Daphnia pulex: one gene and its partner. The protein of the gene in region 1 purifies or fractionates together with the protein of each later gene. This does not show direct contact. Links are inferred from orthologs where the notes say so. Each region holds a gene or a part of one and is shown in the gene's direction. Other genes may lie near its edges. The genes, in order: THO complex subunit 1-like and splicing factor 3B subunit 1-like.

Region 1 (8,968 bases):
ACTTCATGTTAGAATGAGCTATTCTACTTTCCTTTTTAATGAGAATTTCGGATTCAGAAATGTTACGCCAATCGCCATTTGGAGTCCGCAGCCGATACACGTATTATCCTCTGTTTTGTTGGGAACTTTGTCCATCAGTTGCTGCCGCGTTTCATCGTTTACGACAGTCATGTTACTTAGCACCGTCGCATACGAACTATGAATATAAGACAAAAAGGACAAAAAGAATAGGATGAATTTAATGAAAAAGTTTTAAATATATTTAGTTATAGCCTCATTTACTGGAACTTGACGATCCCTAACGAAGTTCCTTCGGGAATGTCATACTGAATCCAACGTCGAGCCGAATCGTACAACCTTCCAATACGATTCTAAAAGAAAAAATCGCATAGTAAAATAATAGAAATCGTATAGTAAATACTCATTATTCAATGTGCTTACATAATCGACCATGCTGCCCGACACGTCAGTAACGAGAACGTAACGAGCTCCGTTCAAAACTCGGACGACATTAAATGTTGGCTTCAAATCAGCGATGGTGGCTGGCAAATTGTTGTTTTCGACAAAATCGATGTGACGTGTAATCACCGACCAGACACTTTGCGTGTCGCAAACTGCGTTATGCTGATTGGGTGCTTCTCGATTGTGTTTGTGAAGACTGGATCCCTCATCGTCACAAAAATGCATGGCCTAAAACCATGGACGGGGTTAATGAAATTCAAAAGCAATCTTTTCAATAATGGAAAATACCGATTTAAGCATCCTGTAATCAGACATGATGGACGATCCTGGTCTGAACTGGTCTGTGAAACTGTAGGTGCAATTTGAGTCGTAGAGGCCCGTTTGCGGATCGACATGACAGCCGTAATCAAAAGTAAAGTCAACGGGCTCATCAGAGCAAACATTAGGCACCAAATCGGCCGTTTGTTGCCCGGCAGATGCTGACCGGTAGAACATTGGGAAGGCTGACTCGTCGCCCGTGTAGCCGTGCTCCTCAAACACTCCGTAACGCAGTCGAGCCCATTCTCTCACGATAACCTTGCCTGTCATTTAAAATTAATTTTACATTGTTGTAATTATAATTAAGGTACGTACAATATCAAAATAAACACTACCTGCTGGCCCAAACTGAAACAAGTTGAATTCCGAATCGAAATTCTTGACGTAATTGGGCGTCAAGTGAATGTATTCGCCAGGATCGCCACATCCGCCCAATTGCACGGTGTATGGTCTTTCTCCATATTTCCAGTTCGGAAGGTCGATTTGAATGTCCGCATTCTGGTTTAGTTCATAAAATTTTGCCATTTGCGAATTAATTTCTCCTTTTTATGCGATAAATTTATTCAAGTATACTTGCAAATTTTCCCATGTACTGGCGTTGGCTATGACGTTTTCCCACGTCTGAGGGATCAGAATATTCACTGATTCAATGTAGGATCGATTCCGAGTTGCTTCATACAAATCAGCTGAAGCTTCAGTGATTAACAACTTTAAGAAGAAATAATAAAATTCTTTTGTAACAAGAACAAGGAATAGTAAAAGCTTTGAAAGAAACTCTAAAATGTTACCTTGATGTTATCCAATAAATCATCAGCTTGATCTGAGGGAACATCAGGTGAAATTGCTATGACAATATCCCGATAGCCGTTGTTGGTTATGTTGACTCGGCTGCCGATGGCGCGAAGAGACAGGCAGCTAAAGAGCAGCAACAAGAGAAGACGATGATGACAGACCGCCATGGTGTCGTCGCTTTTGGAACTATAAAGTGGAACTGAAAAGTGAAATTTTCGGACCAGTTTATATACACGCAACCTAAAGGTGAATCACAGAAAAAAGATTGCACAACCGTTTGCGATCAATTGAATAATACCGTTAGATAGCCTTATACGTGACAAATAAATTATCTGCAAGCCGTTCGGCCCCTTTTGCTCCTTTGTCATGGGCCATGGGTATTTTTTTTTTTTTTTTTTTTAGCGATATCTTTTTATTTTTTCCTTTATCCTGGTGAAGTTGAGAAATTTTGATAGCAAACCGGGGAAAAAACCAACTTTTTGTCAATTTTGATACTTCAAAGTACAAGTACATCTTGGCATTTTGCCCTGGAGACAGCGTTGTGACTGTTTTGTTTGCGTACTTTAGCTTGAGATATAGTAATGTTTTGCGAGTTATCCTTTACTCCCATCAATTGTTACTAGCCAATGCAGAGAGTAAATAACCCAAGATAATTACATTAAAGGCTTGACAAAGAGTTATTGTAGCCAGCAAATAAAAAACAAATCGACAAAGTTTTTGGCAATCATCCTTCTTCTATTCGTTCACAGGGACGATTTGAACAGAGAAAACAACTTCTTCTCATTAAAGGCTCTCAAAGCGATCGCCATCTACATGTTTAATTACAATAGAATAAGGCCTAAGGATTCGCGTTTCTTGCTTCAGCTTACGTGCCGCGTCATCTTTCGTTGATGACGTCCTGCAGTCCAAATGACACAGATAAATTGGTTTGAAATAAGTAAAATTTTATATCTTTTATCTGGTGTTTTATAATGCTACTAATAATTTCCTTTTAATTTATTCTTATTTGAGATGATCAAAGGCGAAATAGGATTTTAAAAAGTGCCACAAACGGCGGTTCCCTGCAGTAAAGAATCGATATCTCTAATCCTCTATGCCTTTTCCTGGTGCACTTCAGGAAGTAGACATAAAATCAGAGCTCGTAAGCAAACAGAGGTAGTTCAAATATAGAGACTAGAACAAGGTTATGAAATCTCGGTAGATAGTGCAGTCGATACTGTAGTTGTAATATGGCAGGCAATACCTGCCGATTTTCATAGGAAATCAAATGATAAAAGTAATACGAATGGAAGTTGAAAACATTCGAGTATTTGAATGCGCTTAAATATTGTTTAGTAGTGAAATGAGTAGCATTGGAATGCTATTGAAAATATTGAGTTCAAAAAGGCTACTTATTGTCGATTACATTAAACATGAGAAATGTCTTAAAATTAGGTAGTTTTTATATGGGAATTTTATCTTTATTAAACTCGGTGCAGTCCCGCGTTAGATGATTTTTCAAAAAAGGACTCTCTTTTGTAGAACACCATTTTTATTGATCCGTCGACTCGCCATCTAGGGGATGATAATCGAGTAACATTTTTGTATGAAAACGTCAAAACGGTAATCTCAGTCAAAACATATTCTTTGAACAGATAAATTATTTGATTATCACCGATTACTTATTAGTTAAACTTGAATGGTTTGACATTTACTTCTTTCCAGAATTTCCGCTTTCCGGGATTCGGAAAAAAAAATCAAGTTGATTTTAGAATGGCAACATTGCAATTTACAAACTTGGCAACGCAACCAAGTTTTGAAGCGTCGTCTGATCGTTTCGAAAACACGACTATTTTTATGTTTCTTACTTTGTAAAAAAACCACTGAAATGGAAATATTTGATTTTGAGAAAACTCGGTGTTCGTTTCTGGTACAGTAAAAAAATCTATCAATGAGCCATATTTGAAATAAATTGAAAAATCTTATGTCTTCTGTGTTTGGTTTCTGTAGGATTCCATTTCTGAAGCTCTTAAACTGGGTGGTCCACCCACTATCAGTGAATTACTTTCAGTTAACAATACAGCTCATCTTGGGTAAATTTAATCAAAGCAGAAAGTATTTACATATTATTGTAATTAAACATATTTATTGTAGGGAAGCTGATAAAAAAGCTGTATGGGATCAGGCGTTTAGAGACAGATTTTTGAGTGATTCCTCAAACTTTTCCATACCATTGTTTGAAAAGTTGTTGCAGTTGAGTCTGGATTGTGCAGTAGCTCTAGTATGTTCTCCAACACTGCCTGTGATTTTGCTCACAGATGCTTTTGACATCCTGTCTCTGGAAAAATGTGAGGAAATTTTCTACATGGTTGAAATGAAAGTAGCGATTTGGAAACAAGAGCTTTTCTTCAATCAGTGTAAAAATACCTTACTTCGCCTTTGCAATGGTATGTAAAGACATTTTTCCAAAATTCTAATAATGTATGACACAAATATTTATGTAACTGGATGCATCTAATTCTGTATTGATATGAATTCAATCCATTACTCTTATTTCAATGTATACCACTCTGCTAAATTCATTTACAGTGTTTCGCTTTATGTGAGTTGTGTTGCTGAAATGAATTTTATATGTATATTTTTTTTCAGATCTGCTGAGGCGCTTGTCCCGAAGCCAGAACACGGTTTTCTGTGGTCGAATTCTTCTATTTCTTGCAAAATTTTTCCCATTCTCTGAACGATCCGGACTTAACGTAGTAAGCGAATTTAATTTGGATAATTTGACGACATTTGGAGCTAAAGATGAAAGCTACGCTGCTGATATATCTGCTAATTCTGAAAAGCACAAGGATGCAATGGAAGTAGAAGAAAGGTATATATATTTGATTGACAAGTTATTGCAATATTTTTCTAAATTTTCTTGTTTTGTAGTTTGAGCTCCGACTACAATCTGTACAAAAAATTTTGGTCCCTACAAGATTTCTTTCGAAACCCTAATCAGTGCTATACGAAAATCCCGTGGAAAACGTTTTGTTTGGTAGCTAAAACATCAAGTATTTCAAGTTAAAATTTTCCATCTAACAGAAAAACAATTATTCTTTAGCATACTAGTGATGTTTTGTCTGCATTTTCTACTATCAAACTGGATGAGCGGAGAAACCGCTCTAAATGGGATGAGGCAGATGTGGCATTAAACATCGATATGAATGAAACCAGCATGAATGGTGGAAATGTCCAACAATATTTCGCCAAATATTTGACGAGTCAAAATCTTCTCGAACTTCAGCTCGGTGACTCCAACTTCAGACGTTACATTCTGCTGCAGTTTCTGATTATGTTCCAATATCTGGATTCACCTGTCAAGTTTAAACAGTTAGTTTCAATAAGTTTCATTAGTTAGACTATTTCAACCGCTTGAATTGCTTCTATTTATAGCGAAACTCACAAGCTCAACGAAGAACAAACTACGTGGGTTTCCGAGGCTATCGATCAAGTCTATCGGTTATTGAAAGATACACCTCCAGATGGCGCTTCTTTCGTCCAATCTATTCGACACATACTAAAGGTATACTGAGTTGTATAAAAGTAGTTTTAAAAAATATCATCCATCGGTGTTTGTTGGATGTAGCGGGAAGAATTATGGAGCAACTGGAAGAACGATGGCTGCCCGGAATTCCGGCCCAGCATAACCAGCTCAACCACTGATAATGATACTATAAAAGATGGTACCAATGGAGAAAAAAAGACGATCGTAGTTGGCCGACCAAGACGGCTCAAAAGAAGTCTTGGAGATCAGATTCGAGAAGCTTCAAAAAGAAATAAGTGCATTATTGGAAAGTAGGTAAATTATGAAATTATTTGAAAACATTGAATTACAGCTTTTTCTCTTTAGCGCTGAGATGAATCGTTTGTGGAATCTATGTCCTGATAACATGGCTGCCTGTCGATCTAAAGATCGAGATTTTCTACCTACATTAGAAAACTATTTTGAGGAAGCCATTGAGCAACTGGATCCTTCAGTGGAAAGCCAGTACAAGTAAAAATTTGCACTTTAAAGCTTACATTTTTCCGAAAATGTTTTAACTGAATGAGCGATTTTCGTGTTTCCAGGCGAGTTAGTGAGGCTAATTTTGGGTGGCGTGCTTTGCGGCTTTTGGCTAGACGAAGTTTACATTTCTTCACTCATGGTAATACTCCTATCACTCGGCTGCCAGATTACTTGGAAACGCACGTTCGCAAACTGGCCAAGGACATGCAGGTAGAGTAAAATCAGATGAATATCACGGTTCCCATTCTGCAATACAGGGAAAAGTCAGGGATTTAGGTTCTCATTTGGGAATATATATATATATTTTTTTTTAATATTTTGAGGTATTTTGAATTTTGTTATCGAGACTCATAACTTTTGCACGGGTTTTGCTGTTAAACAAAGATTTTGAAATAGTTGATCCAGAAGAAATACAGACGAGTTTGTTAGGTGTCAGGTAATTTTTCACATTCATTTGTCTGGAAATCCCTGGATAATCTTGATATATTACTGGTTTTGTAGTTGGCTTATTCAAATAATATGATAATAAAAATTATAGGCTAACATTTATAAGTATTGTGGGAGAATGATATTGTATGCTACGTTTACGAAAAGCATTTATCGAAAGGGTTTGAATAGGCAAGCTTAGCTTGCAACTAGCGATTTGATAAATATTGTCCTAATTTTCTAACCGTGCAAAATTTGAAAATTGATCAAACTTTAAAATAATGCGGTCAAAACATTGTTGCGTACATTAATAACAATCTTCTCATTTAGCAGTCAGCAAATGCATTGCCTAATGTAAAACCGGAGCCAGTGGACGACGCTGGTGAGGTAGAACAAATGGAACCGGAAGCAGACCCAGTGTCCAATAACTCGGAAATTGAAGGAGTCCCAGAAGAAACTAATGTAAAACCGGATGAGATGGAAGAAGAAGAAAGCACTGAAAAGAAACCTGTACTTTGCTGCACAATGGATCAACTCACTCGCTTAGCAAAACAAATCGGGACTAATTGGAAACTTCTCGCACCAAAACTTGGTTTTGGACCAGATGAGGTAACTACAAAATTTAAGACGTTCTGTTTTTTTCGAATTTTGAATTTAAGCCCTTTAGTTTAATAGTCTTAATGACGCTGCATTATTTTTTCAAACATAGAAAACGAGTAAATTCCGTCATATTATTAGTTTCCTAGTTTTCTTGGCTATGATAATAGTTTTATATACAGTGGATGCATGAGATAAAGTTAAAATTGCATCCACCTGAGCTGGATGTGCACCAATCAGCTTTAGGTTCAAAATCTAATCCCGAGACGTACACAACCTGAATTCAAATATATATATTTTTTAAATTATTATTATTATTATTTTTTTTTTTATGTTTAAAGTTAAGATTCCAGGAGAGTTAAAAGTTGTATTGCCAACAGTGGAAAAATACCTATAGATGTGTAGATAGCGTCTAGTTTGATAGGAAATCGATATGCTGCTCACTGGCTCCACTCATGCAGCCTAGGTGCCAAACCTGAATATTTAAAAAGAACGTAGATGGCTAACGGTCGCTGACATACTTTTATCTTTAAAAAATATTCTTCCGATTTTCTTTTTCTTTTTTTATTTCGAAAATACCCATTAGCAATATATTATTATGACATGCCAAAAGAATCAATGCCAAAATTGCTGATGTTTTCCAAAATATTTTACAGGTGGAGTATTTTGAAAGTGAAACAAACGAAGTCGAAATTCAGGCTAAGAAAATGTTTCAGATATGGTTAGAAAATGAAGCAGATGCTACTCCAGAGAACCTGCTCTACACATTAGAAGGCCTCGGCATGTTAGACAGCGCTCAGGGAATATTATGATTTTTATTGCTTTCATATGCCTCATCTTGTTCACAAAAAAAAAAAAAAAAGAAATACACAAAATTTTTACAAGAAAATTCACCTGTACGCTTCTCGTTCCTTGAGTAGCACGGAATTATATTGTTCAGTTCACACATACCGTGTCAGCGGGGAGAGTATTCATAAGCTCTTTCATGCCTCCCTCCCCCTTTACAGAAGCATTTTTATTACCTTGAATATATTATTAAAACCTAAAATATTGTGTTTAAGAAAATTTTTAGTTCTTTATAACTTAAGATACACTAAAGCATAACTAAGCTAGTGTAATTTCGAATTTAACATTTGTATATGATGTAAAGTGTTGGGCTAAGCAAACTGGAGTTTTCAGAGTTTTTTTTTTAAATAGATTAGTTATATTGTGGGTCTTTTGTTTAGGCTGCCATCCGAGAAAGACCAGAAAACCCCAAGTAAGAAAAAAGAAATATTCATGGTGTGACATTGTATTAGTCAGAAAGCCAGCACAAAGCTTCATGGAGGGGGGGGGGGGGGGGCCGTTGAAGCAGTTCAAGCAGCAAGTGACAACCACGGTAAAAGCGATCAATACTCATTGGGTCGAGACGCAGGGCATATAAAATCGCGAGAAGGACGACATCTTTTGGTCTGCGCGTGTGTACTTGATAAGCATGCTGATAGACTATGACGTAAAACAACCTTGCTTGCTTGAAACGTAGTTTTCTAACTAGAAAAGCAACGTTTTAATACAAAGGAGACATGCGAAGTCGACACCCTTCGATTCATTCTACATCTCGGTTAACGAAATAGCTGTGCCCCGCTGCGCCCTTTTTCGAAATCAGTTTTGGAGTTTTGGTTCGTTAGCGAAATCCAAGATTAAAGATAAATGACATGATTGAATTGTGAATTCGAATTCGAATGAAGACAAAATAACACGTGGAACATAAAACAGAAAGGAGCTAAACTAATTTTCTGGCGATTATTGATTTTAGTCGGAACAGAGCAGATCTGGCGACAAGCTTGGTTTTTTGACGTTCTTTATCATTATTTTCGTGGAAGAAAAGAATTCGTGTTGAGTAGTGCCAGCTCATGGAGTATAACCATTCTCTACATTAAAAAAAGTGCATGAATAGAGATCGCGTCGTCGCCAAGAGATCCTAGTTCGAAAGAGGTAGAGTAAGGGAGAAGTTGCATCGATTCACGGGTTTGGAAATAACGGCGAATAGGCCGTTGCCGGAGCTCTAGTCATCAGCGTGTGGTATACGAAGGATCGGCGCCACTCTCGAGCGGAGCAGACGAGGGCTGAAGCTTGGCATTGGCGGTATTGCTTTTCATCAGACCTCCGACTGCACGGTTTGTGGCTAAGTGTTAATGTGTTAACCTGTTGCGACGTAAAATTTTTCTGAAGAATTATCCAACAAGGCTTCCCAAGGTAATATTATTCAACGCTTCTTATTCCAACATGTTATCTTTGTGTCCATCATTTTACGTCGGGCCATTTAGTTAGTTCAATTATATACTTTTTGATAACATAATAGTCGTA
Region 2 (8,714 bases), on another chromosome or scaffold:
TGTCAATAATTTAAAAAATATATACTATGGTCTCATTAAATTCAACAAGTAATACCCAAAGCAAATAGAGAAAGCCTCAGGAATAAGGGCCATTTTGATGACTGGCATTTCGACAAGGCAAGTTAAAATGGACGGGACTGCATTATTAGATTGTTTCTCTTTAAGTTGCCTTGAAAAACAATACAAAAAAATTGCAAATAGCATCGGCAAAAGAAAAGGCGAATAAAACCGGGCCAGTTGGGCACACATGCCGATCCAGTCAGTAGAAACTCTATTAGGAAAATAATAAAAAAATTTAATTTATGAATATGTACATGATAAATTATAAGAATCTTTTAAAACCGCAATTCATACTCGATTTCGTAAGTGCATTTTGGATTGGGACTGATAAACTGAAGATGCACTGAATCATATTCGCTATCGACAGGAGCTTTAGGAACATGAAGGTGAACAGAGAAGCTCTGATTTGACAGAAAGTATTGGCTTTCATGAGACCATGGCACAATTTTTCGTACAATTGCATTTTTTTCCATAGGACAATCGTTTCCGTTGATCTTAAGGAAAATTGACTGCCATGATCTATTGAGGTCTGGTAAAGTTACGTTGAATGAAACGGCGTTACTCGGAACCACTATCTTTCCAGCTGAAGCAAATGGGATGTATCTTGCGAAAGGGAAGCGGATTTCAACGTTTCTATCAATAGAGCGGTGCACATCAAACAAAATAGATCCCTATGGTAAAAGGCACACATGAAAAGTTATTAAATATTAAATTGTAGAAAAGAACTTAACGAAGTACCTTTTGATAACTTTTGGGGATTAAAAATACAATATGAGTGAAACCATTCTCTTTGAGTTTGACCAAGTCCAGGTAGACAAACTTCCGCTTAACAAAATCACCGGCATTCGGTAACAGAACAGTTTGATGTGATAAATCGATACCGCGCTCACTACATATTAGAGTGTTAAAAAACAACAATACATGAAGAAAAACTAAAATTTAAGATTAAATTCATCATAAAAAATGTGTGATAATTACCAGAATCTAGTATTTTTGTGCCAAGTCAAAGCAACACAGCCGAAAACCCAATATTTAATGGGTAGTCCAGATGCTACAGCCGCCAAACGATCTCGATAAGCGTTGTCGACTAACGGAATCATATAATAGCTATTGCTATATTTTTCCTTTTCTTGTTCAATGCTGGCAGTGAAATGTGGCACAACAACTTCTCTCCATCGTCCTTCTGGATCAAAATCGACTTCTCTTACATTCAGGAAATTTTTAAAGCTTTTCCCTTCATTGCGCTTTTGTAAATTGGAAAAAAAAAATGTTGGAAAATATGAAATTTAAATTTGGATTAATTAATAACCTTCATGAGGTGATAGAGGAGAATTTCTTTTCGTAGATCAACCCGTTCAATCCAGTTCTGCGTTGAAGGTTCAACCATATCGAATAGAGATCGAACTACTGTCGAAACTACCTGTTTACACCACACTAAACACTACATTACTACTTACACAAATAAGCGTAATTAGCATTTCTTAGTACCGTACCTATACACAGATGATCAACAGCAAGCCAAACTGTCGGCATTTCGGTAGTCTGGCAAATAAAAATCGAATTTATACATTTTGACTGAATCTATTTTAACAAATTTATATTTTAATTGTTGCTAATTTACCAGAACGTTGATTGTTGGTGAATTAGCAGCAGTAAGCCCAGACCGAACTTGAATATCTCTGTCCGCTCCACCGATTGATGCTAAAGCGACGTGTTTTGTTCGATTTGTCGATTCGTTCCAAAATGTACTGGTTTCTTGATAAAAACTGTCCATGTCCTCATCTAGCACTATAACAGGACTTTTGTGTGGGGTGGCTAGAGTGATAATGGTGGTCACTAGAGCAGAATCAAAATCCATTTCACTAAAAACTGCTTTAGCAACCATTCCCCCCTGAAATATATAAAGAATAATTATACAAAATGTTGGATATTAAATTTGTCAGTACCCAACCATAGAGTGGCCAATTAAAAGCAGTGACTTTTGTTGGTGATGAGTAGATTTGTAGAGATGAAGAATTCTGTTAATACAACTACTAGTAAACATAGTTTGTTGCTTCAGTATACCCCCATACAGAGCTGAAAACTCTTCATGGAAATCAATTGTAAAAAAGTCAAAGTGAAAATGTTTCTTTGAATCCAGAGATTTGCGATAAGCAAAAGAAGCAAGAGACCGAACTGTAATTGCCACACATTAAATTAATTTTTGCTATAACAAGTTCATGACATAGTGAAACTATACCTTGTTTATAAGACCCTGCATTTCCTGGTATAAAAAGAACTGGAATTCCAGTAAATTCACCCTTTTTATATCTTTCAGCTTGCTCTCCTTCTCCGTAAACAAATAAGTTGTAATTAGGGAATTCAGTTGATGTTGGTTCATTTAATTTGATTTTCTATAATAACAGAATTTTTAAAAATGGCAATCTTTAATAAGGACAGAAGTAATACTCTTACAATATATTGCGGATATTCAAACATGAAGGTCATTTCGCATTTGTTGTCTTCCAATTCGAAAACAAAACGATGAATCCCTCGAATGAAGGAGAACGTGAGAAGGGAGCCAACTAACAGTTTGAGCAAATTGTTTTTCTTCATTTTCACGTAAAATTTATGTGTCTCCCTTCACGACAATACACTTTTCACCAGTAAATAGTTTAAGCAATATTATACCAAGATAAATATATTTTTTGTAAACTATGAAATTAGCTTAAAACTATGACAACAAAAAGGAAAATATTGTCATTTGACATTTCAAAATACTTACTAAGAATGTCGTCTGCACATCCGAATTGCATTGTTGCCAATATGCTGTAGAAATCATTGAAAAATATTTGACTCGTCGATATTCGATAACAACCATGAGTAATAAGGATTAGGAAATCATAATATAGTATGGAAAAAGGCATTTCATGACTCTTACTCGATAGAAATTGCCTTCAACTATTATTTTTCAAGCGTTTAAAGACTCAACTCAAGAGTCAAGAGTCAAGAGAGGCTGACCGGAGCCGCACGTCCGCACCGGCCATTTTATAAATACAGATTTATTATTCTATAAAAAATATTTAATACAGAAACGGAAAAAAACTTTCGTCTACAAATAGAAACTATAGACACACACAATTTGGTGGAATTCGACGATGAAATGTATAATTTGCATTTCTACGCATTTGAGATTTGATTTGACAGCAGCAACAAATCTTCATGCATGATCTGGCAACAAAGTGCGTTGTAAAGAAGAGTGGAGAAGCTCTAAAAATGGACGCGAATAATAAGGCACCGAATACGTACGACGGTAATATTGTTTTTCTATTTACATCATATTGGCAATTATTTCAAAGATAAGATAATTTACAGCTTTTTTTGCTACCCAAATTTTTATCATTGGATTATTTGGTTAACTTATTTACCTCTAGTTGCACATGTGTATAAGTGTCTCATAACAACTCTGAACATGCCATAATATTAACTGTGTTTAACATGTGGTTTGATATGTCTTTCCAGAAATTGCAGCTCAAGTTCAGGAAATCCAGTCAAGGAGCAAGGTAGATATATCTGAAAAAGATCGCATCGGATTTGGCGAATCAGGCATTTTTGATTCAGAAATCTACGGTGAAGTTCAAAGTCGATTTGATGGATATGTAACTTCAATTGCCACAACTGATGAAGTTGAAGAAGAAGATTATGATGGAGCAGTTGCCACTGGAGGCAGGCAAACTTTCACAGCACCAGCTGCGATTCTCAATGAAGTGGCAGGAGAAGACTTTGACCCATTTGCTGAACATCGCAGACCAACTATTGCTGACAGAGAAGATGAATACAGAGCAAAGCGTCGGAAGTTGATTATTTCCCCAGAACGTGTTGATCCATTTGCTGAAGGTAAATTTAATATTTTTTATTCATTTTAGTATACTTGCTTGTTGTAATGCAAAGTGGAACACATTATTCAATTTAATCTTATTTTAGAATTAAGAACATCTGTGATTGTGAAGTAAACTCTTTTTGTTTATCTATATTCTCATGTCGTGACCCAATGGCAAATTAAAAGAGTGCCATAGCAACCAGTTAAGTTAAGAGCTCTTGGAGGTGAGTAATCTAAGGCTCTCAAAGGGGAATTGTTACAAGAAACTATTAAGGATACTAGAAGCCAATATTAACCTAGAACAAGCTACTTAATTATAGGTGGATTATTCACTTGTGGGCCAGGAGCTGATCTGCTCAAATTCCCCTTCCGTAATCATCACCACGTATGTATTTGTAACTTCTTGTGGGCGAAGAAACTGGTTTAAGAGTTTTTTCTACTTCCGTCGCTCACAGGGAGTTTGGGTCTCGACTGCCAATTTTTTCTTTAAATTTCGATTACAAAATCTTCCTTACTTTGAATAATAACCCATTTTCCTTTTTTATATTGCTATTCTGTGCAGGCGGTAAAACCCCAGACGTTGGATCTCGCACTTACGCTCATATTATTCGTGAACAACAGTTGCGCGCAGAAGAGCAAGAGGTAATGACAATGGATAATTTATGGTGTAGTTGAGATTATACATGTAATCATTTGTATTCATTTCTAGGTCCGCCGGAAGCTTGCCGACAAAGCTAAGGATGGTACCTTAAAAGCTGTAACGGTACCATCAAACGGCGAATCAAATGAAGCGCCACGGAAACGTGCAGCCCGTTGGGATCAAACAGGTGAAGGTGACACAGGTCCTGCTGCCACTCCAGTTGCAGCACCAACTGTTCCTACGGTAAAGAAGAAAACCTGGGAAGTGGAAACGCCAGCAGTAGCTCGTTGGGATGAAACTCCTTCTCGCTCCAAAGGCTCTGAAACCCCGGCAGCTGGAGGTGTTACCCCTGGAAGTCGTCTGTGGGATGCTACGCCGGGAAATGACGACTCCCGCAAACGGAATCGCTGGGACGAAACACCGAAAACTGAAAGAGCCGGCGAATTTACTCCTGGTTTTGGTTCTGGTTGGGCTGAGACACCACGGACAGATCGTGGAGGAGACACAATCCAGGAGACACCAACTCCTTCGGCATCGAAACGTCGCAGCCGTTGGGATGAAACACCAGCTAATTCCAGTGCGACACCGTCTGGTGGAATGACTCCGCAAACTCCTTCACTATCTGGAGCTATGACTCCAAGAATGACACCGGGTGGAGCTACTCCAATCGGACAAAAAGCTATGGCCATGGCTACCCCAACTCCAGGACACCTTGTTACCATGACTCCTGAACAACTACAAGTAATCAGTGCATTATCCGTTTTGATGTTCAATATGTAACCCACAATGAAATTTATCGAAATAGGCATACCGATGGGAAAGAGAAATCGACGAAAGAAACCGCCCAATTGGAGATGATGAACTAGACGGGATGTTTCCAGAAGGCTACAAGGTCCTGCCTCCTCCAGCTGGATACATTCCTCTACGTACCCCGGCGCGCAAATTAACTGCAACTCCCACTCCATTAGCTGGGGCCAATTCGGGATTCTACATGCAACAAGAAGATAAAACTGCCTCAAAATACATGGACACACAACCCAAAGGCGGTAACTTGCCCTTTTTGAAGCCAGAAGATGCCCAATATTTTGACAAGCTATTGGTAATTATACTTAACTATTTCTTTTAAGTAAAATTAAAAAGTTTTTACTCTATTATTTTGCAGATTGATGTTGATGAAGATTCATTGAGCCCAGAAGAGCTTAAAGAACGAAAAATCATGACTCTTTTACTTAAAATCAAGAACGGTACCCCACCTATGCGTAAATCTGCATTAAGACAAATCACTGATAAGGTAAACTGATATATATTATTTTAAAGTAATTGTATCTTCAAACTGCGTTTATGTTTTTCAATAGGCTAGAGAATTCGGAGCTGGTCCACTTTTCAATCAGATCCTTCCTTTATTGATGTCTCCTACCCTTGAAGACCAAGAGCGACATTTGCTCGTTAAAGTTATCGATCGCATTCTCTACAAATTGGATGATCTAGTGCGTCCATACGTCCACAAAATCCTTGTCGTTATTGAACCGCTGCTAATCGACGAAGACTATTATGCTCGTGTTGAAGGTCGAGAAATCATCTCTAATTTAGCCAAAGCAGCTGGTTTAGCAACTATGATTTCTACCATGAGACCTGATATCGATAACATTGATGAATATGTTCGTAACACTACTGCAAGAGCTTTTGCTGTGGTAGCTTCTGCACTGGGAATTCCTTCCCTTCTTCCCTTTCTAAAGGTATATAGTTTGTTTCAGTTTTAAGATGGGCTTGTTCTTATCTATTATTTTTATTTTAGGCCGTTTGCAAGAGTAAAAAGTCATGGCAAGCTCGCCATACTGGCATCAAAATCGTCCAACAAATTGCTATTCTTATGGGATGTGCTATTTTACCTCACTTGCGAAATCTGGTTGAGATCATTGAACATGGATTGGTAGATGAGCAACAGAAAGTGCGCACCATCACTGCCTTGTCCATTGCTGCGCTGGCAGAAGCCGCGACTCCGTACGGTATTGAGAGCTTTGACTCTGTTTTAAAACCGTTGTGGAAGGGTATAAGAACTCATCGTGGTAAGGGATTGGCTGCTTTCCTTAAGGTATGTTAATTGAAAGTAAAATATTATCCTGCATACTGTAATATTATTTGTTTAAAAAAAATAGGCTATTGGCTATTTGATTCCTCTCATGGATGCCGAATACGCCAATTATTACACTCGCGAAGTGATGTTAATTTTAATTCGCGAGTTTCAGTCACCTGACGAAGAAATGAAAAAGATTGTACTTAAAGTGGTGAAACAGTGTTGCGCAACTGACGGTGTGGAACCTCAGTATATTAAAACAGAAATTTTGCCACATTTCTTCAAAAGTTTCTGGAATCATAGAATGGCATTAGATAGACGTAACTATCGCCAGCTAGTTGACACAACAGTTGAAATCGCTAATCGTGTTGGTGCAGCGGAAATTATTGGCCGAGTGGTTGACGATTTAAAGGTTTTATTCATTTTCATTATTTATAATTCAGTGACAGTCAAATAACATGTTGAATATTTTTCCTAACAGGACGAAAATGAACAATACCGGAAAATGGTTATGGAAACGGTCGAAAAGATCATGGGTAATCTTGGTGCCGCTGATATCGACGCTCGCTTGGAAGAGCAGCTCATCGACGGTATTCTCTACGCATTTCAGGAACAAACGACTGAAGATGTTGTGATGCTAAATGGATTCGGTACAATCGTGAACTCACTTTCCAAACGAGTTAAACCTTATTTGCCACAAATTTGTGGTACTATTTTATGGCGTTTGAACAACAAATCAGCAAAAGTAATGTTATACAACTTTTATTTGTAAACGTTCGTTTTAATATAATGATTTTTATTCCATAGGTTCGGCAACAAGCTGCTGATTTGATTAGCCGTATTGCAGCAGTAATGAAAACTTGTCAGGAAGAAAAGCTCATGGGGCATCTGGGAGTTGTTCTCTATGAATATCTTGGCGAAGAGTACCCTGAAGTTCTTGGGTCTATTTTAGCTGCTCTTAAAGCTATTGTTAACGTAATTGGCATGCACAAGATGACACCGCCAATCAAAGATTTACTTCCCCGATTAACACCTATTTTGAAGGTTCGCTTTTTTAACATATCAGTAATTTATTTTTCTTATTGTGGTTTTATTATCATTTTAGAATCGGCATGAAAAAGTACAGGAAAATTGCATCGATTTGGTTGGGCGTATTGCCGATCGTGGGCCAGAGTACGTTTCAGCTCGAGAGTGGATGCGCATTTGTTTTGAGCTTTTAGAACTCTTGAAAGCACACAAGAAAGCCATTCGACGAGCTACAGTCAACACTTTTGGTTATATCGCCAAAGCAATTGGTGAGACCGAAATTGTCATGGTTATTATGTACAATATAATTATTTATTTTTCAACAACAAATTTCAGGCCCACACGATGTATTGGCTACACTGCTTAATAATTTGAAGGTACAGGAGCGCCAAAATCGTGTTTGTACAACCGTTGCCATTGCAATTGTGGCTGAAACTTGTTCGCCCTTCACCGTCCTCCCTGGTCTTATGAACGAATATAGAGTCCCGGAACTTAATGTTCAAAATGGTGTTTTGAAGTCGATGTCATTCTTGTTCGAGTACATTGGCGAGATGGGGAAGGATTACATTTATTCAGTTACATCGCTCTTAGAAGACGCTTTGATGGATCGGTAAGTTTCTAGTTATTTTGAATTTATGATTAATTAGTTAATGAAGCACATCTGTTTATTTTAGTGACCTGGTCCATCGTCAAACTGCTTGTGCAGCCATCAAGCACATGGCTTTGGGTGTTTTCGGCTTTGGTTGTGAAGATGCCCTCACACACCTGTTGAACTACGTTTGGCCCAATATTTTTGAAACATCCCCTCATTTGGTTCAAGCTTTTATGGATGCTGTGGAGGGTATGAGAGTAGCCCTGGGCCCTATTAAAGTCTTACAATACGCACTGCAGGTAACTTAATTATTTGATTGAATTAGAATTTCAGTTTTAAACCATTTTCTTTTCTATATAGGGTCTGTTTCATCCGGCCCGGAAAGTTCGTGACGTGTATTGGAAGATTTACAACTCACTATACATCGGCGGTCAAGATTCACTGGTGTGTGGGTACCCTCGAG

What was found.
Region 2: the proteins of THO complex subunit 1-like (region 1) and splicing factor 3B subunit 1-like purify together in Homo sapiens (co-immunoprecipitation; 4 studies listed by BioGRID and IntAct, with this or other methods). This does not show direct contact. The link is inferred for Daphnia pulex from reciprocal best matches to the Homo sapiens genes THOC1 and SF3B1.

Annotation. Positions count from the first base shown.
Region 1 is NC_060026.1:6,260,122-6,269,089, reverse strand, and holds THO complex subunit 1-like, read left to right. Parts: upstream 1-3,323; 5' UTR 3,324-3,439; coding exon 3,440-3,481; intron 3,482-3,561; coding exon 3,562-3,644; intron 3,645-3,705; coding exon 3,706-3,998; intron 3,999-4,200; coding exon 4,201-4,423; intron 4,424-4,482; coding exon 4,483-4,588; intron 4,589-4,654; coding exon 4,655-4,923; intron 4,924-4,986; coding exon 4,987-5,116; intron 5,117-5,179; coding exon 5,180-5,388; intron 5,389-5,443; coding exon 5,444-5,587; intron 5,588-5,661; coding exon 5,662-5,809; intron 5,810-6,355; coding exon 6,356-6,634; intron 6,635-7,278; coding exon 7,279-7,434; 3' UTR 7,435-7,511; downstream 7,512-8,968. Other genes in the region: calcium-activated chloride channel regulator 1-like, read right to left, coding at 67-196, 283-371, 442-690, 751-1,043, 1,116-1,278, 1,354-1,488, 1,569-1,739. UniProt on the Homo sapiens protein: Component of the THO subcomplex of the TREX complex which is thought to couple mRNA transcription, processing and nuclear export, and which specifically associates with spliced mRNA and not with unspliced pre-mRNA.
Region 2 is NC_060027.1:4,648,831-4,657,544, reverse strand, and holds the start of splicing factor 3B subunit 1-like, read left to right. Parts: upstream 1-3,226; 5' UTR 3,227-3,261; coding exon 3,262-3,352; intron 3,353-3,561; coding exon 3,562-3,936; intron 3,937-4,481; coding exon 4,482-4,561; intron 4,562-4,628; coding exon 4,629-5,300; intron 5,301-5,364; coding exon 5,365-5,658; intron 5,659-5,721; coding exon 5,722-5,850; intron 5,851-5,914; coding exon 5,915-6,295; intron 6,296-6,354; coding exon 6,355-6,651; intron 6,652-6,715; coding exon 6,716-7,045; intron 7,046-7,114; coding exon 7,115-7,378; intron 7,379-7,440; coding exon 7,441-7,677; intron 7,678-7,738; coding exon 7,739-7,928; intron 7,929-7,995; coding exon 7,996-8,269; intron 8,270-8,333; coding exon 8,334-8,550; intron 8,551-8,611; coding exon 8,612-8,714. Other genes in the region: GPI inositol-deacylase-like, read right to left, coding at 56-271, 355-731, 799-949, 1,039-1,304, 1,370-1,494, 1,554-1,602, 1,682-1,951, 2,012-2,235 and 2 more. UniProt on the Homo sapiens protein: Component of the 17S U2 SnRNP complex of the spliceosome, a large ribonucleoprotein complex that removes introns from transcribed pre-mRNAs.